2 linked regions of the Lepisosteus oculatus genome follow. Each later gene encodes a partner of the first gene's protein in a complex. Links are inferred from orthologs where the notes say so. Each region holds a gene or a part of one and is shown on either strand. Other genes may lie near its edges.

What was found.
Region 2: the proteins of anxa11a (region 1) and tardbpa are in contact, whole or in part, in a cryo-EM structure (PDB 9FOR), measured with the Homo sapiens proteins. The link is inferred for Lepisosteus oculatus from reciprocal best matches to the Homo sapiens genes ANXA11 and TARDBP. Residues at the interface, in NP_001148.1 of Homo sapiens: Gly56, Met57, Ala59, Met61, Ser62, Gly63, Phe65, Asn69, Pro71, Asn72, Leu73; in NP_031401.1 of Homo sapiens: Ala328, Leu330, Ser332, Trp334, Gly335, Met337, Gly338, Met339, Ala341, Ser342, Gln343.

Annotation. Positions count from the first base shown.
Region 1 is NC_090699.1:18,781,894-18,796,835, reverse strand, and holds the start of anxa11a (annexin A11a), read left to right. Parts: upstream 1-7,139; 5' UTR 7,140-7,350; intron 7,351-11,025; 5' UTR 11,026-11,034; coding exon 11,035-11,302; intron 11,303-12,233; coding exon 12,234-12,331; intron 12,332-13,436; coding exon 13,437-13,730; intron 13,731-13,984; coding exon 13,985-14,072; intron 14,073-14,252; coding exon 14,253-14,347; intron 14,348-14,588; coding exon 14,589-14,702; intron 14,703-14,942. UniProt on the Homo sapiens protein: Binds specifically to calcyclin in a calcium-dependent manner. Required for midbody formation and completion of the terminal phase of cytokinesis.
Region 2 is NC_090720.1:2,258,171-2,273,749, reverse strand, and holds tardbpa (TAR DNA binding protein, like), read left to right. Parts: upstream 1-9,679; 5' UTR 9,680-10,176; coding exon 10,177-10,417; intron 10,418-11,183; coding exon 11,184-11,347; intron 11,348-11,905; coding exon 11,906-12,046; intron 12,047-12,615; coding exon 12,616-12,786; intron 12,787-12,914; coding exon 12,915-13,427; 3' UTR 13,428-13,798; downstream 13,799-15,579. Other genes in the region: c25h1orf127 (uncharacterized protein C1orf127 homolog), read right to left, coding at 1-195, 2,400-2,523, 2,761-2,957, 3,568-3,652, 4,024-4,161, 4,341-4,379, 4,740-4,883, 5,703-5,827 and 3 more. UniProt on the Homo sapiens protein: RNA-binding protein that is involved in various steps of RNA biogenesis and processing.

The sequences.
Region 1 (14,942 bases):
ATCCTGTTGCAGAAAAGCTGTCAGCTGCATGCCTGTGGGAGCTGTGGTCTTTCTGCACATTCCTGTTCAAACAAGCCCTCTGCGCTACCCACAGCCTCTGCACTACATACTGTATGCATGCACAGCTAAGTATTCATCCACAAAGACAAAGTGATTGAACAAAGGACTTGTGCAGCACCCTAACAATCTCCCCCTTAAAAAAAAAATCAAATTTCATCATGTTTCTGCATGTGAATCAAATGCTATTAATAATATTAAAAATTGCTCACAATTATATAGGGCTTTTCTTGACACTCCACTCAAAGTGCTTTACAGGTAATGGGGACTCTCCTCCTCCACCAGTGTGCAGCCCCACCTGGATGATGCGCCAGTCTGCTCATCACACACCAGCTCTCATTGGGGAGGAGAGCAGAGTGATGAAGCCAGTTTAGAGATGGGGATTATTAGGAGGCCATGATTGGGAAAAGCTAGGGGGAAATTTGGCCAGGATGCTGGGGTAACACCCCTACACTTTTTTCGAGGAATACCCTGGGATTTTTAATGACCACAGAGATTCAGGACCTCAGTTTTACGTCTCATCCAAAGGACGGTGCCTTTTTACAGTATAGTGTCCCCGTCACAGGCAGTAGGGCAGTAGGACCCACACAGACCGCAGGGTGAGCAACCCCTGCTGGCCCCACTAACACCTCTTCCAGCAGCAACCTTAACTTTTCCCAGGAAGACACTTTAAGAACACACTGTTGCATAAATATAAAGGGGGTGTGCTTACCTGATTAAAAAGATGTTTATTAAAAAACAAGATACTAAATGATCTCTGCTTTCTAACCCCCACATTATCAAAAGTAGTAAGTTAGATGCATGCAGGGAGAAAAGCTGATTTTGCAGCTAAATGAAGTAAAGCCTCCTTAGTCCAGGTTCTGCAATTAAATTGTAAAGGGAAGGTGAGGAGGTGTAAATGTGCACAGCTTGCTTTCCTTGACTGTGTAGTTAGGATGGTGTGTGAGGGTTTCAGGGTTTGAAGTTTTATAGGTTAACCTGTCTGTTAAGGCTCAGTGCCATCCAATCACACTGTTCTTGTCACCCGCAGGACTGTGGCCTGAAACCAGACACCATCAGAGTGACGTCATTGTCATTGTCAGGCAGCGCACTCCTCAAGAGTGAGCAAAACACATGCTTTCACTAGCAGTATAAAGAGAAGTTTATGTTTAACAAATGTGAGTCTTTTACATGTACAGCATGCCATAGTCTAAGAAGGTGCATATGGAGCATTTTGATCAATCTGTGCAGGCTGACTTCTTTCTATCATTGTAATATTTTGAAGGTACCCTTCAAAATGTGTTTTTAGGCAGGAGGCAGTGCTTTATTTTCTCTTAGCATAGCCTTCTAATAAGAAAAACGTATTTTACAAATAGCTTTGTTATGTTGTCTTTGAAGGCTGACAATGTTTTTTATTATATATTTCTTAGTTGTGCTTATGTAGCTATCAAAATCTCCAACGTCAGCTTTACTTTACCGAGATTTGTTCTTAATCGTTGGAAATCAATCTCATCGAGGAATTATTGATGTAATATTCAGGCTACAGCTTCAGACCTACAAAAACAAACGGACAAAGAGAGTTCCATCTAGTGGAAACTTGAAGTACTGCAATTACTTTGTATACGGTAGCACAGGAGGATACTGACCGATTTCCGTTTTCGTAGTACAAACATGAAATTCCTGTCAGAGAACATAATTTAATACAGTTTTATGGTTACAGTGTTCCTTACTTTTGCATGTGCAATGACATTCAATGAAGCAGAGAAGGTGTTATTGTTATGGACATTAATAAGACAGCTGTAACAACATTGGGAAATCTGGGAGAAGGTTCCCATTGTAGTCATGTGCTTACTCTCCTGTCTAATCTTTAGAGTTCAATTTTTCAGCCTTGTATGCAGACACTTTTCTGTGAATATCAGCCAGAATGGATGAACACAGTAGGAATTTAAAGAGCAATTACATTAAATTCCTCCCTTAAAGAGCAAAGAGCCAGTACCTCCCTTAAAGAGCAAACGTTGTACAGATTTTTAATGTTGTTTCAGATTTGTAAACTACCTGACACTAATTGAATTCCAAATTCTGTTCCAAGGTGGTTAAATAAAATGTTATGAGAATAAATCAACAGAGGTCTTGAAAACCAGTAGATCTCATTGCAGCAAGGGATCATTCGAGCTATCTAATTCTTGTCACCAAAAGCCTGAAACACAAAACTGCAGGATTGGAGAGATTGTAACAACAACTTTATTGTCTGGGAAGCAAAACTGTTGATGTTAGTTAAACATGTCGTGAGGGTTCCTACATTCTTTCAAATGCACTGAATTGTTCCAGCTCTTCTTTCAATACATGTACTGTGAACATTTAGACCAAAAGCCCTTTTCCCCCCTAAAAAAAGTTTTTCCTCACAAGTCTTGGTAACCTACATGCTCAGTGAGCCATACATATTGTACACACATTGCTTGCCTAAAGTGGGCCTTCACAGAGCACAGAGCACATCTCTCTGAACTCCCATAGCAAGCGTACCCCTGGTGCACATTGGCTCCAGTGAGGGCCAGGATCCCTAGAACGCAATCAGACCTGCTTTCCTATGATGCTCCAGCACACATCCAGAGACCGATTCCTTGGAAGGATTTTTCTCTTTTAAATAAATACAGTACTAACCACTTTGAATTTTATTATGGTACTTTAAGCATTTTCCCCATCTAAATACCTGCCTTCTGCAAATCTGGGGTTGTTTCTTAAACTATTAGCCCGTTTTTTTAAATCAAACCCAGTCAGAATATTTTGGGCCAGTACTTCCCTTACCATTGTATATTGTTGACTTACCATACAGATGGGTACAGTTTTAATATGAAGAAAATACCCGCCCATTTAAACGTGTGAATGATTAATTTAATGTTTCCCATATTTGGTTTGTTAAATTATTGGTCAGAATTTTCTGATGGAAAAGTGGCATGCTGATAGTTTTTGATGACTAAAAATAATTAGAAGACTCACAGATTTTCAAGAACTGGAGACTTCCTCTCTGATTTTAAGAATTCCACCTTGTGTGTTTCGACACACAACAAAGGTGACTAACATCTTGATTAAGGAAAAAAAACAGGTGGAAACAATGCAGAAGAAGAGCTTGATTTTTAAAAGAGTGCCTACAAAAAAATTCAACATTTTGCAGTGTCACTTCTTAGAACAATCCACTAACGTTACTTATGCATTATTTGTGATTAACGTAGAATGATAAAGGATGAAATAACCCAGAATTAACATTCACAATTTAAAATATCATTACATTAACTGAATATTTTATTGTTACTAAACCTGATAAAAGTTTAATATGTTGGTTCCAGAACCATGACAAGGGGAAGAATAAAATTGTTGTTTTATTGGTATTTAAAGATGAGAAATCCATGTAACTATCACTTTTTTGCAATACTGTCTTTGGATGCATGGCGGTAAGGGCTGCTTCCTCACAGTCATGGACTCTGGGTTCACCTACTATGGTCTTAACTCCTACTATATGGACTTTGCATGTTCTACCTGTAAGTATGAACTTTGCCAGGTGCTCTGGTTTTCTCCCTCAGTTCCAAAACATGCTTACTGATGTTTCTGAATTGTGTGTGTTTCTTTCATCTTTTATTGTGGTCAAGTCTTCCATCCTCTGACAGACTAGAGTCCCATCTAGAGTCTAGAGTCTAGACTAGACTAGACTAGACTAGACTAGACTAGACTAGAGTCCCATCCATGGCGTGGCCGCGGCTTGCGTCCTGTGTTTAAGGGCACTTTGAGTTGTTCTCACTCTTACCATATTTAATAATGGTTGGAATTCAGCCTTCTTACTCAAAAAAAGGCTTAAGATTCATGATTGAAATGTTGCAAAAGCAACGTACGTACAATCTGGCTTTCATTACTGATGCACATTTAAGAGTTTGTATCCATAACAAAAACATTTGCAGTGTGGGAAATATATGTTTCTTTTGATATTTCCCAGTTCAATTTCCAGTTAATTCTCTTTGGCAAGAATAAAACCTTTTGAAGAGTGAAGTAATGCTGGAATTTATTTTTTAAGATTCCCTCCGACCACACTTTTTCTGTGACTGCTGAAAACAAGGTTGACTGAAGTTCATATACCCTGGTCAGGCCTTCATTGATCAATGAATACAATACTTTCGTTATTTATTTTTATTGTAAGAAAAATATTATTTAATTTAATAATTAATATTATGTTATTCAATATTATTCAATTCCAGACCCACAGTGCTATTTGTGTACAGTTTGTAGCTTCGTTTTATTAGTATTTATTATTCATTAATCCTAGCCTGCTCACAAGGTGTAATTCCACGCTGGGAGCAGAGCTCCGCTGAGACAGACTAAAATAATCATATCTACTGTTGTTGTAAGAGGTAAAATTACTTGGAACTACAGAACTACATCTGTCTCTGACTTAAAACTTCAGTTTCATTCTTTTTTCTCTACCATTTGTTTTTAGAGGAAATCCTTTGAAAAAAGTATAAAGAAATGTAGAGCATTCATAACCAGTTATCTCAGACTACAGTCAAAAGCCCTCAGTGCAGAAACAGTGCTTTGCTTTTAGAAATTCATAATTCTTATCAGATGCTTTTAATCCTTCCTGCACAGAACTTGCCCTGTGCCATCACCACCGGAAGCAAAATACATTTACGCTGTTCAAAGTCTGTGGTAAAAGTAATACAGCACTAAATGTATTGGTAAATGGGATGCCTGACTCCATTAGTAATTATTTTACATATATTCAGACAAAGCTGACTAAAACCTGTCTGTAATTGTGTTTAGAAAATGCTGGGATTACCTTCATATTAAACAACAGATGTGTGATTCTTCTGAATTATTCCAAAATCATCTTTTTGAGGATTTTACTGTAAATGAGAATTTGTTCTTAAACGTTCTTTGGTTAAAGGAAGGCTATTTTCTACGTTCTAAGTTAATTAATATTTTAAGAAATGTACAATATATGCATGAAAAAGCTTTTGTGCTAAACTTTCAATATTTTGTATATAGACTACTGGTCTTATCTCATTGGTGACTTGAATTATCTCAGTTAGGAAATTTGTCTCACCACCACTTTGGGAGTTTGAAGGAAACACTGACCCTAATAAACCCTGTCTCCAGTGCGGTGGGGTTCCTGTCTGTGTCTGTACAGCAGACGGAGGGCCATTTTTACAAGGTGCCAATTCTGCGCATGACAAGTCCCTGCGTTTCGAGTATGACACGCTTCACCTCGAAAGCTTTTGGGACTCGATTCAGTACACATCATCAAATCAGGACAATTGTGATAGATAATTTAAAGATTTAAAATAATACATAAATAAATATTATTATTGTACCACAAATGTCAATTGCAATTCCTGATAATGACCCCAGACCCATTTATGTCGCAATGGAGTGATCCGAGTGAAGTTCCCTGCTCAAGTAAATAACAATGCCCCGCCCATAGTTTGAACCCATGACCCTCCAGTCGGTTAATCGGTCTGTAGTCCTCACCAAATACCTCTACACGATGTTGTTTTCTTATACAAAATACTTTAGTTTAACAGAATATAAAATGAATGCCAAACAACTCAACGCTTAAAAAGTGGTTATGAACCTTCACCACACGCAAAAGTTTTAATCGTACAGGGTTGTGATTTTAGATCATGTTCTGAAAGATGTCTGCGGCTTTAAAACGTATTATATTTCAAGTACCTGCCTGACATTTTAATATTAAAACACTATTGAGACTCCATATTGAACATGAAAAAGAAGACATCTGAAGCACGTTTATCATTAACATACCGTGCAAATACAGCTCTTTTTATTAGCCCCGATATGGCCCACCTCTCTTTGTCAGTATTTTCCATAACGTTACGCAATTAGGGGCTGGTCGTCGGGGTGCGTCTCTGACATGGCTTTCAAAAAACAGGATTGGAGAGCTCTATTTAAAGCAAACCTAGTTTTGCTTTAAAAGGTGGGGCACGTAAAAGATCGGCTTTGGAAAATATTGGCTCGAGAGCAAATTCAGAGACTAGCAGGACGTGATATCTACAGTACGTCAACCTGTTTTTTCAAAGTATTAGAAGATTGGGCTATATATTTTTTAATCCAACTATACTCAGATTTTTTCTGACCCTTGTATAAAGTAGAATTCTCACAACATTATTTTCTGAAAATCACAGTTTTTTTTTTGTAAACAGCAGTCCAAAAAAACACAATGCATATAACAATGAATGAAGATTATATCCTATCTCTTAATTTATGTCACATTATTGAAGACTTGTATGACTTGTATATCGTAGTGGGTTATTATGATATGCGTGTATAAATTAGAGTGGACAAGGGGATGCTTTCTGGTGTATTTTGAAGGTATTTTCTTTAGTAACTGGGGAGAAGGGCTTGCTCCCTCCCAAAATCCACACAAAACACTATCACATTAATGTCCCTTCACATTTTCCTGAGCCCTCATTTTATTCCGTGTGACGTTTGCACACTCTCCCCAGATTTCAGTTTCCTCCAACAGGCCAAAGACACGCTTTCCGGGTTAAACCTCGTCTCTATGTTACCCCTCTCTTGACGTGTGAGTACACTGGCCTCCCACCCAGAGTGTAGCTCCGCCTTGCACCCTGTCTGATTAGGCCACGGCTCACCGCGACGCTGCAGATAAAAGCAGTAACCGAGAAGGTGTGTGTGGATTGTAAGATACACGTATAATCATTAAATTAGGAATTTAAAGTCATATTTATATTGTACCTAGAAATAACTATTTTGTCAATTACAAGGAAAGTGTTAGCAATAACGCAACAAAATCTAATTTAAGAAACAAAATGCACAGCTGAAAACCTGTTTCTTGTTGTCTTAAAGTCAAAGGACGCGACAGATTTCTACCTTCAATCTCCATCGCAATGCACCAGGAGGCCGGACACGTGATTTTAAATTGGACTAATGCTGTACTATGACCCATGGGGAGAGGGAGGGCACAGTTGTGTTTTCCAAAAAAAAAGTTCGAGTTCGACATGTTCATCGTTGACAAATAAGCACTTCTCATTTTCTACATTCACATATCACACTGTATCATTATTATTGCACCACCATATTCCTAACCCACACCTGGACACGTCACGATGGCAGTTTGCTAGTGAGTGCCGTGGCTCAACTCTTACCCGATTGTGTTTGTGTAGCGCCGTGGGCGTCTTCGGCGCAGTGGAAACTCTGAGAGAGAGACCCACCCACCTTGAGCTAAACACATACCGAAAGTACTTCCTTGATCTGTTCTCATTTAAGGACGAAAAGACCTGAAGCACGGGCAAGCAGGTTAGTGTTATCGTTGATAAAAGTTTTATTTCTTTATTTTTATGACCTGACAGTAGTGTTCTGTTAGGGTTTGCAACATGCAGAGATTTAAAATTTAATTAAGGTGAACTGTGGGTTTCTTAGAGGAGTACGGAGCGATAGGGTCCCACTGTTACTTTACAACAATTCAACAAGAAAAAGACTCCCATTTTCTCATGTAATGTTTTACTTGCTAAATGCAACTTTAATGCATGGTTAAAAATAGAGCGGTAATCCGTAACGAAAAAAACAAATAAGAGATGGATTGCTTTGTAAGGTTTTGTAACCACAAGAAGCCGTTTGAGCTTGTTTACAGTTTGTATTTACGTCTTTAGTTTTTAAATATAGGTGTAGTTTACGGCTGCAGAATAGGCACGACACGATCGTACTGAATTTTACGCTCCTCCAGGCTGCCATTTTGTAAGGATTTTAACAGAAAATGACCACTGAGGCTGTTTGCAGCTATCTGGGACATCGATTTCTCTGCGCTGTTGCAGTAGTTGTGCTTGCGACAATTTTGGTTTACTGTAGTTTAGAGGATGTTTACTTTTAGTACGGCCGTAAATAAACTGCTTTCATTTATAAAGGAATTGTCATTAAAAACTTTAACTGCATTGCTGTCCAGAAGGAGTTATTTAGTATTACTATGCTACGTTATAAATCTTTTAAAAAGCTATTTTGTAAATGTTGGCTACCTGTAATGTACCCAATTTAAGAAATCTAGTCTTCCGTCGAGTTTAAAGGTGAAGAAAGCCCTAGGGCCACACAACACACCCACCCACGCAAACGGAGTTCATTGATTCATGGTCAGGTGTCGCTGACGGCACGCTTGAATATTTAAATTAGTGTACTTTTTCCTGTGAGGGACGTTAAACATCAACTACTCCTCGGGAGTTCCTAAAATGTACACTTGAAAGAGTACATTATACCAAACACCTTCCTCTTCCGTTTGTAACCAGTGTTCGCTTCTTAGAGATTTAAGAGTAACATTGATGAGGAAGGAAGTGCATGCATTTCAAGGTTGCTTAACTCTTACACAGCTGCCTTCCCGAAATAGGTGGTCTTGTATTAGATCTACTTTTCAATGAAGAAAAGTTTTTAAGTTCAGGGTGTGTCTGAGCATCCATTCCTCCATGACTGCTGCTAATGCATTTGATGTGACAGGGGGTTCAAAGTGTGGATCCCAGTCTTAGCAGGTTCACTGTAACCAATGAAATTGATTGGATTTACATTGAAAACTAGGCTGTCTAGACATTACTCTTGTCAAGTCTAATGCTTGTAGTGAATTGTCAGTCTTTTCAGATAATAACTCTTTGTTCATTGTAGCTCAATTTGCAAAAATAAAATTGCCGTCATGTATATTTTGTCTTTACAATGTGGGCTATTTACTTAAAAATTTAAATAGAAATACAAATGTAAATATTTCCCCACTGATTTAGAAATCCTTTATTATTGGTAAACTCCCACTTTATAGTGTTTGAATTTGACAGGCAATTTGCCCACATTGGGAATCGGGTCCACTTCTCTGGCATTGATCAAATACAATGGACATTATAATCTTATTGAATTTGTGTGCTTCATGCCAGAGTGAAAGAGAGGCTTGTGATTTTTGAGGCTCTCTGGGATGTGTCTGTGACACAAGCAGGGAAATAAGCCATGCCCCGTTAAGTGAATTGGAAAGATAGTGGCCTTGTCTACTCAGCAGGGCTAAGTTTAGGCATGAGACTGACAGGGCTATCTGGGCCTGGTTAGCCGGCTAATACTAAAATTGACCTTGGCGAGAATTCTGCCCTTCCTATTAGTGTTTTCAGTTGCACAGTTTATTTCTGAAGATAACCTAATTTTATAGAACTGAGTTTGAAATAAAAAATAATTTAAATAAGCTGTCTGTTACAGAAGCTAAGGTTTCTGTGTCATTGAATATATAGTGGCAATGTAGGCTAATTTGCATAGTACCATGCGCAAATTAGCTAGTGTTGAATTTCCTCTTTGGCATCGTTTTCTGTGTGTGATGTTGTATTGAAGTGGATTTCTCAAATCTAGTTTGCATTATATATTTAAATGTTCTGCAGATATGTAAAACTAAGGACAACTAATTAAAAGAGCCTGTACTTCCTAAGACTGTTGAAGAAGGCTAAGATATCTCCCCAGATCCTCACTAGATTACTAGATGCACTACAGAAAGCACACTGACAGGGTGCATCACAGTGTGATATGGTAACTGCAGTATTGCTGACCGCAAAGCCCTACAGCGGGTGGTGAAAACTACCCAGTCCATCACTGGGGTTGCTCTCCCATCCATCCAGGACTTTTATGACAGACGGTGGTTGAGGAAAGCTTTTAGTATCATCAAAGACCCCACACACCCCAGCTACAGACTGTTTGACCCTCTACAATCTGGAAAACGATACTGGAGCATTCAGGCCCGGACCAGACTCAGAGACAGTTTTTACCTCCGCACTATTAAACACCCAGCCTCTCTCACCTACGATCTGAACCCTTACAGTGCCTTCTCTCTTTATGAGAACTATAACACACATTGAAATCTACCTCTACCTCACATGTCAAGAAGTTCACTCCCCATAATTTTGTATCCTTTATTTCATTCTGGTGATGTATGATTTTGCACAACTGATGTTGTTTTGTATACTACCTGTTACCTGTTGTTGTTTTGCACATTGCCTGTTGTCTCTGTCTTATTCTTATACAATTGTATGGTTGTTTTTTTTGTACTACTTACCGTCTGAGTGCTAGTTAAATAGCATTTTGTTAGACTTTATACCTGTGTATGAGTATAATGACAATAAACTTGAACTAAATTTAAAAAAAAGGAAGAGCATATTATCAAACCTGACAAAAATTATGATTATGACCAAAATTTATTTTTCATGCCTTGGTTTAGGATTCCTTCATCATTTGTTTATTTGTGTTCATACCTCTTTAAAGGTCTTCCATATCTGGTACAAAGCGTACAGTGAATAATGCAGTGTTATTTTTAGGCGTGTTGTTCATGCAAGTTGATAACAATGACAGCATGTTTACCCAAAACACTGGTCAGCGATGCTGAATTGCGCACAGGGTCAGAATTTAGTTTTATTTTATGTCAAGGTCCTGTGTTTGTTGATCTATTCTTCACCATCTCTCACTTGGGCCTGAAAGCTGGTTTAAAGCAACATGAGACTATTAAGCATCCACTGTCACTGTGCATCTATTATTTTACCTTTTCCACTACATTAAAAAAAACAGTTTTTGTGCTCAACAGTATATTTGCTTTATACAGTAACTAAAACTATTTTGTTTGGATTTATGTTAACATCCACAAGCTGTTGGCCTCGTCGCTTTCCAGCCTAGTTACTGTTTCTATTTTCTGTTTTTCTAGTTGGAATTAATTCCAGTAAAAGCTGAGCTAACATTGTCCAGAACTTTGGATGCTCACATTCTGCCGTTGCTTGTAGTCCTCTCACCCTTGGGAGCCTTTTTTCTTCGTCTTCTGCCGGAACACTAAGATAAAAAAAAGCTCAAGCTCTGCTGTGATGAAATTATTCATTAAGAAATCACTGGTCTTTTTCCCCAGATCAAAACAAGGAAAGGTTTATGCGTTTGGAAAGTTTCGAGAGGAATCTCTCCTAACATGTGGAATAATATTTTCCATTCCAGAGCTAAACGATGAGTTATCCAGGATATCCTTCCCAAGGTGGCGGCTACCCCCCCCAGCCCGGCGGATACCCCCCCCAGCCTGGTGGATACCCCCCTCAGCCCGGCGGATACCCACCCCAGCCTGGTGGATACCCCCCTCAACCCGGCGGCTATCCACCCCAGCCCGGTGGATACCCCCCTCAGCCCGGCGGCTACCCTCCTCAGCCTGGAGGCTACCCTCCACAACCTGGTGGATACCCCCCGGCTTCTGGTGGCTACCCATCTGTGCCTCCTGCCGGTTAGTCCCACAGGAGTTTATTCGTATTCTGCAAGTTATACAAGCTCAACCACCATCATGGTGGTTAAAGTGTCTCTTCCTCCAGATGCGCCAGCGCTAACCTGTGCCTGGCTTTTTATCTACAACAGATTTGTTACACTACTTAGAAAATATCATGAGCCTGTTTTCATAATGGCCAAAAAACACTAGTGTGAAATTATATCATGTTTAAACCACAGGTCTCTGGCAAACTTCGAGACGGGCACATCGAGACAGGACAGTTAACGTCTGTGCATGTTGCTTTGGCAGCAGCTGATCTGAAAAGGACCCCAAAAAGAAAAAGTTCCCATTGAATGAATTTTATAACCTGTTTTACTGGACAGAAGAGCTGTGTTGTTCATTATTACAGCACTGTATATTTTAGACAGCCACACTGTTTTCATACTACTGTCTTCCTTTGAAATTACACCGCAGTGCATTACACAATTTTACAGATCTCCATAAAAATACTTATAAAATGTACTATTATATTTTGTATATAGATGTCAAAGAGCTAAATTCTTCTGCTGCTAGGGCTGCTAAAATTCTACTCAATTTTAAGCGAACGTTTGTAGTGTAGAAATGTTCTTTGTGGAAATAGTGTATTTTCATTATAAGAATGTAAGAGTTACAAATGACCTATGTTGCCCTCTTGCTGGTCAGTATAGATTTGCTCCATGGGTCTTTCTCAATTTTCGCTAATCTTTGTGTATGGAGACAGACTGTGGATATGCGCAGTCCCTCCTGATTTCCACTGGCGGCATCAGGGTTCTTCTCTGATTTTATTTTTGCCTTGAAAAATGGTCCATTGGGTTTCTAAAGAAAACAGTTTTTAGTTGGGTATAAGATCAGCAGTATATGACCAATAATCAGGATTTGTACAAGATGTCTGTTTTTTTTTTTGCTGTTGAAGGCGGCGGGTCCGGCTGGGGCAGTGCACCTGGCTTTTCTTCCATCGGACTCGATAATCTATCCAATCCTGGATTCACCTCTGGCTCTATCGGAGCAATGGTGAGTTCAACAGAGATCCGACATGGCTGGTGGTGAGAGAAAAGATTCTCTTTTTAAAAAGCTGTATTAATAATAATAATCGCTTACACTTATATAGGGCTTTTCTGGACACTCCACTCAAAGCGCTTTACAGGTAATGGGGGCTCCCCTCCACCACCACCAATGTGCAGCATCCACCTGGATGATTACTACTGGTATAACTATTAATTTGGGCATGGTTCTGTTTGACCTATGCCAGTGTGTCCGATGTTACCTTCCCAAGATATCCTGGTGGCAGCAGGAACACATTTCCAGATTTCACATCCAACATAAGGGGAATTGCATCAGTTCCCATGGAGGTGTTTGTTTTCTGGGATCCAAGTTTTGTTTTCCATGCATTGCATTTAACAGTGACTACTCAAAACCAGCAGTACCTAATATGACACCATACTTAGGGAAACAGGAAAGCAAAAAGCAGAACTATTTTACAAGAATATGGAGTCAAATTTCACCAGCTATTGAAGTCACGCATCCAGGTTATTATCTTAACATAGCATGTCCTGGAGCTGCTGTCATGCCTCCAGTACAGTCTACAGTGTACACCTGAGTGCTGAATAATGTTTAAAGAAAGTATTTTTCAGTCTGGTACTTTGCAATAGCTTTGAAAGACTCTTCTTCTATCTTGACTGTGACAATGTGCTCTTGATTAGGTTCACTTGCAGGTGTTCATGATAAGCAGCCTGTGAACCTAGCTGTCCACTCTTTATTATTTCATTGCAACTGACAAAACTAGTGTCCTCGCTGTTTTTGCTTGAATCTCTTTGTGCAAACTGCAAGAGAAACAAACAGAAGAAAGAATGACCACACTTCTGAAGATGATAGTTGTGTTCTTACATTTCAGTGGAGAATGAAGTGCTTCTTGTTCTTATATTAACACCATGTCTGTTATAGTTTGAGTTAATGTTGCTCCTTGTCGCTTGTGCGCTTTGGGTTCGAGAGGGTTTTTAAAAATAAATTTCTACTGTAATAATGTTTGGTTTTGATGATCAGCTTGGATTTTTGTTGTACTGTTAGGAAGGAGTGGGCAGGATCTGGCTTTTCTTATGGATGTAATCCTTGTCACCAGGCTGACCAGATTTCGGCATCCATGGGCGGAGTGAATCCTAATCCAGCGATGTTCTCCCAAGCACCCAGTGGCTTTCCTGCCCAGCCAGGGGGATACGGGGGGCCTACCCCCAGCCAGCAGCCCTACGGCATGTACCCGCAACCAGGAGGAAACATGCCCCAGGGAATGGGATATCCCAGTGGTCCTGCCCCTGGCCAGCCCATGCCAAGCTTTCCAGGAGCTCCTGCAGCCAATCCATCAATGCCTGCTTACCCATCAAGCACCCCTGGTGCCCCAGTGGTCCCACCCATAAATGTAAGAAAATGGGGAAACCCAATTGAGATGAAAGACTGCAGTCTTAAGGAGCAGAAGATCGATTTTGTTTTAGAGAATCATATGGTTTCAAGTACTAGTAGCATAAGAGCTTTATCTTGAGCTCTCCAACTGAGAGTGTCGATAAACTTGTTTGCAATTTTCTGATTTTCATTTACAGTAACATAATGACTAGGCTGTTCACAGGGGTGAAGTGAGATTTCCTGTAACACTTTGATCATCACTTATTTTATTAGAGAGGCTACCGAGGCACAATCAAAGACTTCCCAGGCGCAGACCCGCTGAAGGATGTAGAAGTCCTTAGAAAGGCAATGAAGGGCTTTGGTGAGTTGCTCTGTGTAATACGCTTACATTAGAGTACCACAATAATGGCACAAATCTCCTCTTACTCAAAGTCAAAATCGAGCTATTTAGTAATCTCCCTGGAACTGTTAACTGTGTTTAAATTAATCTGTAAATAACCGATCTATTTTATCAGTCAGTGTGCTTGTTGTTTTTTTCCAGGCACGGATGAGCAAGCTATTATTGATCTTCTTGGAAGCCGCTCCAACAAGCAGCGAGTGCCCCTTGTGATTACCTATAAAACTGCTTATGGGAAGGTAAGACCAAAACAGCAGGTGCCTGCTGTGGATTTTCCCAGGCCAGCATAATCCCAGGAAAAGTCAGTTGAATGAGTAAGAAAATTTATTACATCACCACCACATAGTGACTCTCCTCCTGAAAACCACCTTCTGTGTTCTGTTTGTCAGTGTTCATTCGAAGGTATCACACGGTGTCTTTTAATGTATTATTTTTTATTTCAATCTTGTTTTTTTTTCTTTTGCGCATTTTCCCCCTTAGGATTTAATTAAAGATTTGAAATCAGAACTTTCTGGAAACTTTGAGAAAGCTGTGCTGGCCATGCTGAAAACCCCAGTGATGTTCGATGTCTATGAAATCAAAGATGCCATAAAGGTTGGTGGAGCCTTGTGTCTGTCATGGGCAAACGCGAAATAAAAACCACGACTCCAGCGAGGGGAGATCTGGAAATGCCCAGATCCCAGATCATGTTTGCCAGCTTTTACCTGAGCAGTGGAAGTGTGACGCAGCTTTTTAACTTGAGGCTACTGTGGCTAGAAAAGGCTTTTTGTTGTCTTCATATATTATTTATCATTTCTGTTCATCACTGTTAAAGGCAAAAGAGACTGACAAAGA
Region 2 (15,579 bases), on another chromosome or scaffold:
CCAAGGAGGCTGTGCCAGGGACCGGCTGCCTGGCGCCAGCGTTTCCCGTCGGCTGCCCGGAGTCAGCCGGCGCTCGATCCGCAGTGGGAAAGGGCCAGGAAGCGAAGGGCTCGGTGGGAAAGGCGTCGGAGGGAGTCGCTGCCGAGCTCCCCAGCCCTACGCTGCCTGCCGGAGACGGGTCTACAGCTGGAAATTCTGTTATAAAAACGAATACATCGTGTTAATTAGGAAAAAGAAAGCCCCCGCGAGACATGCAAATACAAAAACAACAGGCCGACAGCTGCATTCACGCTCTCGCTGTGGATCTGGCGAGAACTAATTGAATCTGTTAGATATATAAAAAGAGAAACGCAGGGCTTGTGCCCTTGAATTACAGCATTCCCACCCCACCCACCCCCCTTCTTTTCTCCGTCAGCTCTATCAGAAAACGTCCCTAATCCCACTAATTTAGCAGGGGAGGCTTCACACTGGGAATTCACAGCTTGGCTCCGTGCTCAGGTGCCGTCAGCAGAAACCCCAAACCTCGCGGCCACCTCTGTTCCTCCAGCAGGCAGGAGAACACCAGGATTCCATTACAGATAAGCAGGCAGCAGGCAATCCCAGCTGCCTCGCTGGCCCGTTCCTGCAGACGGCAGCATCCCGTAAACACTTCAGGGCCCACGACTCGCCAACAGGCAGGAACACGGGTGAGAGAACATACTGTCCGTGTGCACTGGAAACGCGTCCCGCTCGTGTCGCCCAGACAGACAGAGACCTTTACTGCGGTATGTCATAGTAAAAAAGGTGGAGGGTAGTAAAAGCACAACAGTGGAATCGTGGTTCTCCTTGGGAGGCAAAAGCAGGATAAGGACTTGAGGGACAAGTGGAAAAGGGGGGTCAGCATCCAGTTTGGGATAGAAATGTAGCCTATGAATACCAGATTTGATTCTGAGCTTTACGCTTTCCCCTGCAGCCAAAAGCATGTAATAAAATATCTGGCATTAACTCTTTTATTGAAGAGCCCATTAATGTATCCTTTTATGTATAATATTGATTTGATTGTGCACAAATATTGACTTCTTCCGAGGGGAACCGGAGGTTATGTTTAAACTCTTGAAATTGCATTACATGGAGCTCCCAAGGGCTATCCAATAATTCCGAGTAGGAAAAATAAATGAATTCCATGGGAAAGCAAATATTTGTGTCATTATATTGCTTAATCACATCCAAGTTCAATTAATTCTTTCAGGCAATCCAAAGGAGCAAGAGGGAATCGATTAGAGCTGCGTTCTTGAGGATGAGGTGAGGACCAGCAGGCCAGAGCACCGTGTCCAGCAGGCTGGAGCCCAGAGGACCAGCAGGCCGGAGCACCGTGTCCAGCAGGCTGGAGGCCCGAGGACCAGCAGGCCGGAGCACCGTGTCCAGCAGGCTGGAGTCCCGAGGACCAGCAGGCTGGAGCGCTGTGTCCAGCAGGCCGGAGCGCCGAGGACCAGCAGGCCGGAGCGCTGTGTCCAGCAGGCCGGAGCGCCGAGGACCAGCAGGCCGGAGCGCCGAGGACCAGCAGGCCGGAGCGCCGTGTCCAGCAGGCTGGAGTCCCGAGGACCAGCAGGCCGGAGCACCGTGTCCAGCAGGCTGGAGTGCTGAGGACCAGCAGGCTGGGCATCACCGCAGCCTGGCGAAGAAGGGTTCTGGTGCAGCTTTGCACCACACAAACAAAGGTACAGGTACCCAGCTGAGCTGTTCAAATCGATACCCTGGTTTCTCTGAAGAAAAGACTGGACGAGATCCTGGGATTAAATTCAATTACCTACTTCCAAAAGGCCCAAATATCATCTCATTCCCTTGGGTGTTTAAATCTAGGTCTTGGAAGACACTTTGGAATTAGAAACACAGAAATAATAACAGAACTCTCAATTTACACTACATGACGTACATGACATCATCCTGCAAACACTGGGCGATATGGAAAGCATGAGGCTAAAAGTTGAGATGCTGAGCCTTTTGTCATCCAAGTTGCTCTGTACACAGAGTACTAGATCACATTGTTTAAGTATCCATCAGCAGAGATAAAAACACCTTCTCTTTTGTATAATCAACTTAACTTGACTAGGTTTTGAGATTGATAAAATGTGTATTGTTCATCTGAGAATTCCAGCTTTTAATGCAACATTCTGGATGGTTTGAAGGGTTTTTCAAGTACTGAATGAACTGTAATTTCAGGATTGAAAAATCATAAACTCTTTGAAGAGTGAGAAATCCTTTTCAGATAGACGTTGTTATACAGTAGATGTGAAACTAACAGAAGGTACAGGCTTAAACTATGGTCTATTTATTCTTCACTGTATTCAATAAGATAAATTGCAACTAAATTGTATTAATTTAGTTGCTACTGTATGTGACAATACAAAAAGAATACTTACCACTACATGGAAAAACATTTTCCATACTCCAGTATACTCTGTATGGCATTTCTCTGAAAGTCAGAATGACATCCACTCTAAAGAATAGCTGCAGAAGTGATTCACTTGCAGAACTCGTGCAACTCTGTAAGAGTTATAGGAATGAATAAATACTTGTCTTCTTTATCACCAAGCAGAGGACAATACGTTATTCCTGGCATTTATGTTCAAGAAAAAGAAATGGGGTTTATTATTAATGGAACACAATAATAAATAAAGATAAGACTGTCACACACAAAAAAAGCTGTGTGTACTAAATGTAAGGGCAAAAAATATCCTGAGTTCTGCACATGGTGTTAGTTGGCTAAGCAGACAAACTCACCTTCCTCTGGAGAATGTGATCTGTGGGGACTGTAAGCTGGAGAAAGTCGTGGTTTTCAGACACTGAATAAACGTCTGTTTGTTTTACGATTACAGAGAGTAGGTTCAGGCTCTCCCTGTCGTAGCCAGCCCTCTTGATTAAGCCCATCCTGCGCTTGGAGATGTGCAATACAGTCTCATCTGCTGGGGAGCTGGACACTGCAGGATGAGAAACAATCACAGGGCTGTCCACGCACGGAGTGACTCCTAGTGCCCGGGGGACTGCTGGCATGCAGGAAGCCCGCAGTGCCACGACAGCTGAGAGGCAAGACCGAGCTGATGAGGAGATTCCACACTGGGATGGGATGAAGGACTGGGGACTCTCGGAGAGAGGAGTAGCGCTCCTGGCTGGGGCTCGACCTGAACTGCACAGAGTCCCGAGGAAGCGTGGCGCTGCTGCTTCTTTGCTGACTTTAAATAACCCCCCCCCAGTGGATGGGATAGGATGGGATGGAGGGGAGATTCATGCCCTGAAGTTACTGCACTCATCCCCTCACACACTTCCAGCCCTGTGGTTCTCCTTGCTAAACATCCAGTGGGGAAACAGCCACTGCTACAGTTTTCTCCTCCTGGACTTCATGAACTAATCTGGGTGGCGTGTTAATTACTGTAAAACACATCAGATATTTGTAAGGAAGCTGCTGTAATTGCACTGTATGTGTGGAAACGTGTTAATGTGTATAGGCCATGTTCAGCTGTGCATTTAATATTTAGCAGTATTATACTAGATTGATTAAAGTTTTTTGTACTATGATTAAGTGATACGTACCGTTAGGGCAGTTAGCTTCCATGCTGTAGGCATAGTACCCACTGACTAACCAGAGAGGCAAGACGTCAATTGCTCTTCCCATCACCTGTAAAATATGGTATCAATTCATTTTCTATGCCACTAATAAGGTTAGAAAGTTAGAAAGGCCCGGTTCTGTTTGGTTCTGCTCTCCAGCGACGCCAGATTAGGAAATGTAACTCTCATGCTGCCCAGCCTGCAGAATGTCAAAGGGGACGGCAGCAATACAGCAATACTGAACAAGTTAAGAGACGTGAGCTGGAATAAACAGATTTCCGCTGCAGTTCTTCAAGGCCACACGAGATGGCAGTGTGATCCTACCCGAAACACCCAACTGTACTTCGCCTACAGCTTTAGTCCCGTCTCCACTCTGAGCGTCGGTTTAGAACAGGTAAATTCCGTGTTATTGGTAAAGAATATAAAAAGGAGGTTCCTTACCTCCACTGAGTCCATTATTTCCTTTCTCTGGCCCTGCACAGTGATGTTGGAGCCTCTGGTTTCAGCGCTCAACTGGATCAGGCTGGAGTCTTCCAGCGCCGCTACCAGCTCTCCTCTCAGAGACAGGGACCAGCGCAGCTACAGCACACACAGGTAGATTATCCTCGTACACTTCTTGTCATAGTTTCCATTTTTATAATGTTATTTGAAAGAGAGGGGGAGTAACACGGCGACTTTTTTAATTAAAAAAGGTATATTCATGTAGAAAACCCTCAATGTAAAAACTCATCAATCTGGTTTTGTGCAAAACACTCTACCTCATTGTTCCAGCTGTCCCGGTGAAGCGGTCTGGTTACCTGTGGAAATTATATAACAAAACGTAATTCACTTCGTTCTACTCATTAAGAATTTTAAGCATTTCCCTTCATAAACCATAAAGCCATTTGCACAGGCTGAAAACGCAAGGTCCTTAATGAAATACAGTTTGTCTCATTCAACTACTTTGTTTTTTAAACTGTTCATTTGAAAGCTGCAATTGTCCCACTATGTGCCTTATTATTAGAAGCTCAAGATGCATTGAACCACTGTAAGACCACATGATTCCATCCGTTCTGACGCAGCTATGACTTCTGCCTTATGCAAACAGCTGCAGACGTCGTGCTTCGGTAATCAGCATTGCTCAAGTCCCAGAAGAAAAAAAAAACATCTCGGCTCACTTGAACATAGTCAGGATCGCAGTGAATGTGAACTCCACCAGGTGGCGCTGTCACCAGCGGACATTTCATGACAAGTCTGTTACTTCTCCCACCGAACCTTCCAGGTCTTTTCATCAGGTTCAGTACCAGGATGTAGTTGCTGTGCTGGAAAAAAAAATAAACCCAATCATATTGGTAGGTTAATTGGCTTCTGGGAAAACTGGCCCTGGTGTGTGTTTTTGTGTGTATGTGGACTGTGTGCGTGTGTGCCCTGCAATGGACTGGTGTCCCAACCAGGGTGTATCCTGCCTCGATCTTGCTGCTTACTGCTTGCTGGGTTCGACTACTGCTCTCCTGCAACCCTGTATTGGCTATTGGTCTCCATCAATTGGTGAGAAAATTGATGGAGACCAATAGCAAGTCACGTCCCTGCAATAACTTCATACTGAGGTCCCATCTGAAGTCATAAACTTTGCAGAAGCCGGGAAGGCCACTCAGCCTGTCTGACTCGTGTGTTAAATGATCCGAGGACTTCATCCAGCTGTTGCCTGAAAGCAGCGGGTGGATTTGATACAAAGGTTCACATTCCTGCAGTAAAACACGAGTTTCAAGCAGTGAAACTGGAACACGAGCACATACAGTAATGCTCGTGTAACTTCTCAGGAAGTGTTTCAGGACATAGAACTGGCAGCACTTTTTAACGGGGGTGTCTGGGAAAAAAAGCTAGCACACCCTGCTGCTGAAGCCTGGTCCCTGGGACTCCCCGGGAAATGCCTGGCTGAGGTCCTTGGATCAATAAGAGATGAACCTCAACAGGAGACCTCTTGATTGGCGCATCCTTGTGTCCTTATTTTCCCCATCTATCGCTAGCTCGATTTTGAGCTGGAAGGGCGTTTTTTGTTTTTTAAACTGCCGACTGGCATCCGGGTGCCGAAGGTGCCGAATTGACTCGATCCAGGCGCCGCTACATTCGCAGAAACATACTTCCAGCCGGACGGAGCAGCCGCTGTACATCACTCTGAAACTGTAGTGCCGGTCTGCGTCTCTGTGGAGCGCGTACCCGCAGGCGGACAGCCGCCAGCTCAGCTCCTCCGGCGACGTCAGGCTGACTGAGTTTCACAGGAAAGACAAAAGGTGACCAAGGTCGCGTCGGCTTGACAAGAGGAAAGACACTGCCAAACCTTATTGTTCTTCCTATGAGGCCCGAGGTAATTTGAGTCAAAAGATGCAAAATCCAAAAGGGTCACATGATTTAAGTAACTGCCAAATATTGGAAATCTTACAATGCGAATAGCATTTTTTTTCATCTTAGTTCACATTAGGCAATGCATTATTGCAATGCATTTCATATTACAGTGAAAACAAAGACACTGAGAAGGACACCCAACGGAAGAAAACATGATTGTTTTTTTTTTTCCTGGAGCTTTACAGCCGTTTTATTCAACCTTGCGTCCCGGACGAGGCTCGCGAAATGCAAAGTGAAGCTGTTTTACGAGCGCCGTGGGTGGCTTCTGTAATGTTTGGTGTTCGGTGTCCTAGCTTACACGAGAGTTCATACAATACTGGAGCGTTAAGTACGTTTTACAGTCAATGCACAGTATTAGACCCGTATTTCATCCGAGTTTGCTGCGGTTTAGCGCTGCAAACTTCTCACTGGAGAAAGACACCGGTAAGTGTACCGTTGTCTGCTGGGTCTCACGGCGCCGCTTTGTTCTAACGGTTTCTGGAGATACCGACAAAAAAAAAATCCGGAATCCCTCTGGAACGGAAAGATTTCTGTACCTGGAACTCTAAGCGCTCCGGCCAGCCAGAGTCTCAAACCTTCAGCCCTGCTCCTGTGCACCCACAGATCCATGTACTCTGTGAAGCACTCCACATCGCCCTCTGAAAACACAGCACACTTCAGACAGCAGCTCCTGGGAGGCCAGAAGACCTCGGCTCGGATCAGACAAAAAAACACAGCCCCACAAGCTATTAGAGACAGACAGCCTCGTCTTTTTCTTTTTACAGTATGTCCAACTTGTAAGAGGCAATTAAAAACGCATACAGCAGCTGGTCCAGATGTTATAATAGAATTCCCAGGCTGATTAAAGGTGCGTTTTACACTGTGAAGTACACTTCCTTGAGCACTTACCAAACCAGTTCATTGTTATTATTTTTTACTTTTAACTAAACCAGAGCAGATTTTCCGTGATGGGATGCACGCTGCTACAACCCAGAACAGTAAGGCTCCATACCTGCGCTTTGCGCTGCATCGCCAAACCCGTCTCTCGGTAGAACCTGAAACGGGCGCCCTCTAGTGGACATTGGCCAGAAGCTGGAGAAAGTACACAAGATAACGTACTACATTATTCTCTTTCAAGAAATCTAATAACACTTAATATAGTTACACCAATGTTATTTAAATGAAATACAATATAGTAAATTATATCATTTATGCAGAAGTACTAAACATCTCTACGACATCACACAAGTCTTCAGTAAATCATGCAAAGGAACAAGTAATAGGTTTATTCCATGCCGAAAAAAAGGCTCCACGGCCGAAACGTTGTGTTCTCTTCTTTTTTTCAGCATGGAATAAACCTATTACTTGTTCCTTTGCAGCCTACGCATGCTGACGCAGCTACCCACCTTCATTAAATCATTTCAGACTAGATGTATGAGGAACATACAACTACATGTATCTTCTATGCATTTAAATGGGCAGAGGCGTGTGTGCATTTGTTTTTATGCATCACATGCATGTAACGTCAGTGTCAGATCGTAAGACTCGTGTGCTTTATTTGCATCAGGGCCAGATCCTTGAATCTCACAGCAAAACGGGGGAGCCACGCTGTTCAATTCACAGTAACGTCCAGGAAATGGCAAAACAGTTTCCTCTGATAAAGCCCCTGCAACTCACAGCAAGGGAACGAAGCGTTTCCCCCAGCTCACGGCACGGATACTTACAAGCTCATGATAACGATACACGCCGTTATCCGGTCCATGGCGAAGCCCGAGAGGTGATGTGTGAGGCCCCCTTTACAGTGCCTGGGTATTTATCAGCACCGCAGGTGAGTCGCGTTTGTGTACACACACCCCACGCCCAGGACTGAGGAAGGAAAGGCAGGACACTGAAGAGTGACCTGTGAAAATCAACAGGAAGATGAGGAGGGATCAGAAGAGAGGCCGCTTCAGCCGCAATTAAGATGTAAATTGCGTGGTCAGTCTCGAAGTTACACATTACAAGTCATTTTGCCAAGGAGAATAAATCTGGAGCACTCTTCCCCTTTAACCAGCTTTTCGCATTATTAGATCAAATTCCAGTCTTCTTACAAAGGTTTTTAGAAATATGTGCGAACCTTAAGAGCTGTTTGCAATAAGGATTGTTTTATTTTTCAGTGTGTCACAGCACAGTTACGAAAAAAAACATTGTGTAAATTCACCAGAGGACTTAAGCATTCCTCAAATGAAGCAAATGAAGAAACGTGTGTTAAAAACAAAAATGCTTTTTTAGCTGCTAGCTAAAGTTGTTTCACGATACACAATTCGTGTTAAACAAGTCAGTGTAAACAATTTGCAAAAACGCTCGTGTGCTCCGAACGAATTGCGCGGTGTGTGTGTGTTAAAATCCGCAACAATGGCAGGTCCACTTGCTTTAATATAATACAGCAGAAAGTGAGAAGTCTTGCTCGTGATGAAGGAGAAGTGAAATTCACCATAACTAATTATATCAGATCCTTCCCACATCCTCAACTCTGAATATCAACTTCTTCCTTCTGGCAAACGTTTTAGGCTTCCCAAATTTAAGTCATCCATTAAAGCTGTCAACACAAATGTCAAGGATAAACACAGTTTTGACAACCCACTTGAGTGCAGTTTGGTTTTTGATGTGTTGTTATGAGTTATACTGTACATGTGCAATAGAATGATGTGCAATGTTTTTCTTATTTTTTGGAATAGTATAATGTGCAATGTATAATGTGGGTTTTTTTTTGCATTCTATTTAAATGTACAGGAGTGCTGGGTGTCCATAAAAACAATTCCCTCAGGGTACAATAAAAATCTTATCTAATAATAGTAATAATAATTGCTTACACTTCTATAGCGCTTTTCTGGACACTCCACTCAAAGCGCTTTACAGGTAATGGGGACCCCCCTCCACCACCACCAATGTGCAGCCCCACCTGGATGATGCGATGGCAGCCATAGTGCGCCAGAACGCTCACCGCACATCAGCTATCAGTGGGGAGGAGAGCAGAGTGATGAAGCCAATTCATAGAGGGGGTTTATTAGGAGGCCATGATTGGTGAGGGCCAATTGGACATTTGGCCAGGATGCCGGGGTTACACCCCTACTCTTTTCGAGAAAGACCCTGGGATTTTTAATGACCACAGAGAGTCAGGACCTCGGTTTTACATCTCATCCGAAGGACGGCGCCTGTTTACAGTCCAGTGTCCCCGTCACTATACTGGGGCATTAGGACCCACATGGACCGTAGGGTGAGCGCCCCCTGCTGGCCCCAATAACACCTCTTCCAATTAAGATAAGATAGACTTGACAGTATCATTGACACTGGAGGACAGCCCATGACGTGTAAGTACATGAAGGAAGAATTCCGCTTAATACAGGAGCAACGAAATCTGACCGACATCAATGTACCATCACACAGCCTTGCGGTCTTTCATGCCTCTGATGCCGTACCAAGCTAAGACGCGATACTGTGACGTCATGCCGTTTTAAGTGGAACGTACCAAGTACGAAAACGGGTTGGGGTGAAAAAGAGCGAAACAGCGGTTAAAAAACGTTAAACCTTCTAATTGCGAGTGCCGCTGTACAATATACTAGTAAATTAGACCCATAATCGATAACGAAAGTTGTTCGCTTTTCGACCCTGTAATTCTCCTTCATTTGTAGAAATAATGAGCCCACCCAAAACGATGATGCAATTCCCTCCATGAGAGAAAGGCGGCCATTTTGTTTTGAAGTTTGGGAAGAAAGGAGCGAGAAAGCGAGACTGTTGTGCGTGTTTTTTCCATTCGGGAGGAAAATAAGGAAAACGTAGACTTTCAGGCAGAACATTCGTCGCGATACCGCATTGTACAAGGGCATCCCGTCACATCGGATCGGCGTGGGCTGTATTTGCTGTACGTTGCGTACCGAAGAGCGCGAAAAATAAGTTGTCATTCATTTTGCAAGGAGTGTTGGTTTGGGCCCAATACGGCCGTCGGCTCCAGGTGCTGTGTTTTGTTTTTGTTAAAGCAGAGTTAGAATCGCTAAACTCTTTACAGCGGTGATCTCGCTCCTTTTCATCTAGGTCAGTATATTTTGGTTGTTTATTGTTTTGTTTTTTTTAAAAAAAATCCACGACTCCCTACAGTAAGGAGGGATCTTTTAGCTAGGAAGCGGCGGAGGGGTCCCGAGTATTTTGGCGTCCCGCGTAGAGAGAGAAGAGTTCGAGAGCGCACGAAGCGTGAAGATGGCCGAGCTGTATATCCGGGTGGCCGAGGATGAAAACGAGGAGCCCATGGAGATCCCCTCGGAGGACGACGGCACGGTGCTGCTCTCCACCGTGGCGGCGCAGTTTCCGGGAGCCTGCGGCCTGCGCTACCGGAGCCCCGTGTCGCAGTGCATGCGTGGGGTCCGCCTGGTGGAGGGCATCCTGCACTCCCCCGAGACCGGCTGGGGCAACTTGGTCTACGTGGTCAACTACCCTAAAGGTATCGATAGGTGTCGGTGCTCTTCGTTGCGCGGTGCTCAGACTTGCAGCGGTCGGGTGGGTCGGGCCCTCGTGGCCTCCTGGAAAGGGAGCTGGGACAAAGCGTCTCGCCCCCCGCCCACGCAGCGAGAAGACCCGGGGCATGAGAGTTGCGGAGATCGGAGCCACGTTTGCAAACGGTGCAGCAACAACCGCAAAAACGGGGACTATAACACCCCTTCAAATGCGCCGTTTAAAGATGCCCCTTGTTTTTAAAAAAAAAGTTGAGAGAAAACCTACCGTCTTAAACAAGCCCGCTCGCTCTTCGGCGCTCTGATAATGTGAAATTAGTTGACTTGATCAGCCCTTAATTGCAGCCCACTTGTAGTTAAAGCCAGAGACCAACAGATACTGTTGATAACTGAAAAGCTAATGACGTGCCCCTGGCTCTTAAAAACCATCCCTTGGAGTGCTTACCCTTTTTACTGATATTCTTCAGTAAAAGAGGTTAAATGCGATCTGAGGTAAAAAAAAACATGACAGATTAATTGTCCTCTTTAATGCATTATATGGAAGAGTTTTGTCAGAGGTCATATATACTGCTTTTATTTTTTGGAATGAGTAATTTGGAGACAGTTGCAGTTTGTCACACTTAAAAGTGAGTCTGCTTGGCACAGGTGTTGCATTCAGAATATATCTCAGGGTCTAGTAGGGGCTGTGCTTTGGGTCTTTGCGTTGGCCGGGCCATTCCTACCCTCCTTATGTTGAATCTGCCCCCCCCCCCCCAGATAACAAGAGGAAGATGGACGAGATTGATGCCTCCTCCGCGGTGAAGATCAAGAGGGGAGTGCAGAAGACGTCGGACCTGATTGTCCTGGGCCTGCCTTGGAAGACGTCGGAGCAGGACCTCAAAGACTACTTCAGCACGTTCGGGGAAGTGTTGATGGTGCAGGTAAATTGCCACTGAAGCTTGCTCAGTTGTTCTGCAGCCTTCCCTAACACCCCCACTACGTGCATGATGGGGCTCTTGGTGCAGAACCCCGTTTGCTTGACGTAACATTTTAGAGGATCAAGGTCCGGCACCTGGAGAAATCCCCGCAGTGGAAATGTTGTGTTTTTCTTCTAATTTTTTGCAGGGAATAAACCCTTACTTGGTCCTTGGCTGCCAACGCATGCTGGCGCAGCTCCCTACTCGAAATTCATAACATTTTAAAGTTGGTCTTAAGGTACCAGTGAAAAGTACAGTCAATGAACAGATAAAGGTTTATTCCCTGCTGAAAAGAAATGCAACATTTCAGCTGTGGAGCCTTCTTCGGGTGTCGGTACGGTCAGCTTAATTTGTAACATTGTTTTAAAAAGATAAACTGGATCTCTTAGTCGTATTTACTGTCCAATCAGTCATCCTAGTGGGAGGGGAGCAAATCTTGTCCAGCTTGGGATGAGAGGTGCTGCAATGTCACGGTGTGTCTTGGCTCGGTATGCTTACACAGCACTTGATGTTTCCCTTTAGGTTAAACGAGATGTGAAAACGGGAAATTCCAAGGGGTTTGGATTTGTAAGATTTACGGATTACGAGACGCAGGTGAAGGTGATGTCTCAGAGGCACATGATTGACGGGAGGTGGTGTGACTGCAAGCTGCCCAACTCGAAGGTAATGCCTGGTCTTTAAAATGGGTTGTGAAATATCAATTCCCTTCAGTGCTGCATGCTTGTAGCACTCAGCAGTATTCTTATCTGAAACCATCGCATAATTAACACGTTTAATAATATGATACCATGCTCTTTAATTAGGACTTGTTATTTTTTTTGAGCTTGCTGCTAAAATATTAGCGATCGACTCAATTGGTCCCTAGCCTAAACTTGCTTCATTGTTACCCTAGGGATAAGGATCAGTCATCATAGCTGTAAGTGAGACCTCTGAGCATTCACTGGCTTTACACATGACTAAAGTTATTTAAAGAGGTTTTTAATGTTAAAAGGGTTGGGGATTGTTGGTAACGAAGCCTCACCTATGTTAAGATCTCCTGGAAGTACAGGAACAGGTAGCAACCCTATGCTATTGAAAATGACCGTCTTTGTGCTGTACTAGTTTGTGTTACTGGTTATTGCTTTTAGTTCCGACACCACTGATGGGTTTGGAGGCCCCCAGGTGTCCTTACGGTTTTACTACGAGCGTTCTTTTTAAAACACCTTTCCTTCTCGCCTGATCCCGGAAAACAGCAAAGCCCGGACGAGCCCCTGCGCAGCAGGAAGGTGTTTGTGGGCCGCTGCACCGAGGACATGACTGCGGAAGAGCTGCGCCAGTTCTTCATGCAGTACGGAGAGGTCACGGATGTTTTCATCCCCAAACCTTTCCGGGCTTTTGCGTTCGTCACTTTTGCGGACGACCAGGTGAGTTGTTTCTTGCGAGAGAGCTCTTCCGTTGGCCTGCCTCTGCACATGGGGTGGGGGGGGGGGGGGTTCTGGCTCCTTGGCTGTGCTCACTCACTTTTCCTGACCTCCTGTTTTTCCCCCCGCAGGTTGCTCAGTCGCTTTGCGGAGAGGACCTGATTATTAAGGGAGTCAGCGTGCACATCTCGAACGCCGAGCCTAAGCACAATAATAGTAGGCAAATGATGGAGAGGGGGGGTAGATTTGGGAACGGAGGGTTCGGGGGCCAAGGGTTTGGCAATAGTCGGGGCGGGCTGGGCAACAGCCCCAACAATAACATGGGCAGTGGCATGAATTTTGGAGCCTTTAGTATTAACCCGGCCATGATGGCTGCTGCTCAGGCTGCTTTGCAGAGTAGCTGGGGGATGATGGGCATGTTAGCAAGCCAGCAGGGGCAGTCGGGGGCCTCAGGTACGACTCCCACTGGGCAGACCAACGTCTCCCGGGAGCAGAATCAGAGCTTCAGCTCTGGAAACAACAACTATGGCTCCAGTTCAGCAAGTTTAGGGTGGGGCACTGGCTCAAATTCTGGCCCGGGCACTGGGTTCAATTCAGGGTTTGGCTCCAGTATGGAGTCAAAATCGTCAGGGTGGGGAATGTAGGAAACTGATTTGAAGCGTTTCGCATTTCTAGAGTAAAATGGTAAGTATTTTGAAAGCTATAATTTTTCCAGCTCCATTTCTTAATATGTCCTGGGTATTTAAATGACATACTATTTTTGCCTTTCTTTTTGTAAAAGAAGAAACCTGAATGTTTTTGTACATTTGGCTAAATCTGCAAAAGATTGATGTACAGAGCAGGTGAAAGTGAATCCCAGTTTGCCAGGATGGTGAACTACAACACTACTTGTAGTGTAGGTTTTTTTCCCTTTCCCCCCCTGGTAAAATTCAGTTTGTGGCAAACCAGATTCTCTATGCATGAATTGTAAATATTGGTATTTTGAGAACAAATGCATGACATTCTTCATTCTTTTTAATTGCATACCTTGTGGAAATCCCCCACCCCCAGCAAACACACATTATGGTTTTTCCATTTATCTTGTATTGGGAGGATCTGGTTTTAAGTTTTGTTTTGCAGTTTTCTTTTTTAAAGTTTTACGGAAAAGCCTTCATTGAAATCTCTCTGCAGTTCATCTCTTTTCCAATTTCCCTGGAAGAAGCCCTTCACTGGCAGCAATGTTCGAGCGATCTCAGTATCAGTTCCCTTCTTCCCATGTGTAAATGCTTTGTCATCAAAGAGCGCAGCTTCACTCTGCATATACTGTGTTCGACGGTGGGTGTTGCATTTTTAACAACTATTTAACGGAGTCTTTTTTTCCTCTCTGCGCTGTAACGCAAGTTTGTGATGTGGAAACGGGCGAGCTTTTTATGGAGCGCTTTAAGAACACTTGAGTGGGATGGATTGTTGGTGCCACGAGTGAAAGGCTGAGTATGAGCGAGCAGAGAGAGGGGAGGAAAAAAAAAAGCACGTGTGGAAAGGACTGGTTGTGCTTTGGAACGAGAGCCCTTACTGACTTTGCGAGAGATGGCACGATCCTGTGGCTTTGGTGAGCGAGTGTGAACGGAGCAGCAGTTGCAAGAAAAGTACGAGTGTTTCTTTTCTACCACCACGAGGACACCCATTAACCTGTCATGAGATCCTAGGGATGTTTTTTTTCCTTGAATGAACAAGCGTTAAAAGTAGTTTCTAAATGTAGTGGAATGTTTAGTGATCTGAAATGAATCTTTGTATCTTTTCTGGCTGTATTATCTGACGTGAATGCCGTATGGTGTGTGCTTTTTTTTGTTTGTTTCTCCTTGTTATTGACCTGTAAGTGTGAACATGTGACCTGATGCTGGTGGAGCCTGTGATGAGGACACTGAGTGAGCTTGTGTTGTGTGGCCGTGATAAGCAAGTGAGCTCAGTGTGTCTCAAGGGAGGGTGGTGAACGTCTGTAAGAATTCCTTTAGAAAGTTTGCTTTTGTTAAGTGTTCGGATGCATTTTATATGACTTGTCATTGAAGGGAATTCTCAAATAAAATTAATTTGAATAGGTATTGGTCTTTTAATATGGCTTTTTTTAAACTTACTGTGATTGAGCCAAATGCAAAAACCTTATTTCACGTATTTAGGGACCATGGATAAGGAGTTACCCCATTCTTCACCGCTGATGCAGGTCTACTCTTGGATAAGGAAGATGTCTTTTTTTTTCAGAAGGCTGAAGACCCAGGCTCATTGGAGTTTTGTATGGTCCCAAAACTTGATAACAGTGGGACAGCAGCCATTGCTTCAAACCTGAAAAACAGGGGCTGTCTTCACTTTACAAGAAAATGGGAACCCATCTCTCTTGAATAATTTCAAGGACCGTTTTTAAAAGAGAGATGTGGTTATGAATAGCCATGAACATTTTTTTAAAATGTAGGTAAGTACTGCTGCAAGACCTTAATGTGGGTAAGAAAGACAAAGTCCCTTCACATTGGTGTGCAAGAGTTCTGATCCTCCTGCATCTCCTCCCCACCTTTACATGGAAAGCAACTGGTTTCTGAAAAAAGAGGTTTTTGTCCTGTTTTATTTAAGTTTTCAACGGTTTGAACACCTCAGAATGTGAAAAATAACTATCTGCTTTACGGGGGATGCATTTTGTGTTAAGTACTGTGATCCTCGATGATAAATGTAACAGTTTTGTTTCATTGTAATTAAACGCTAACCTTTTTTTTTTTAAAGTCTGACTTTTTCATTTTGAAGCGGTGTGATAGAGTTCTAAGTGTGTCCAGG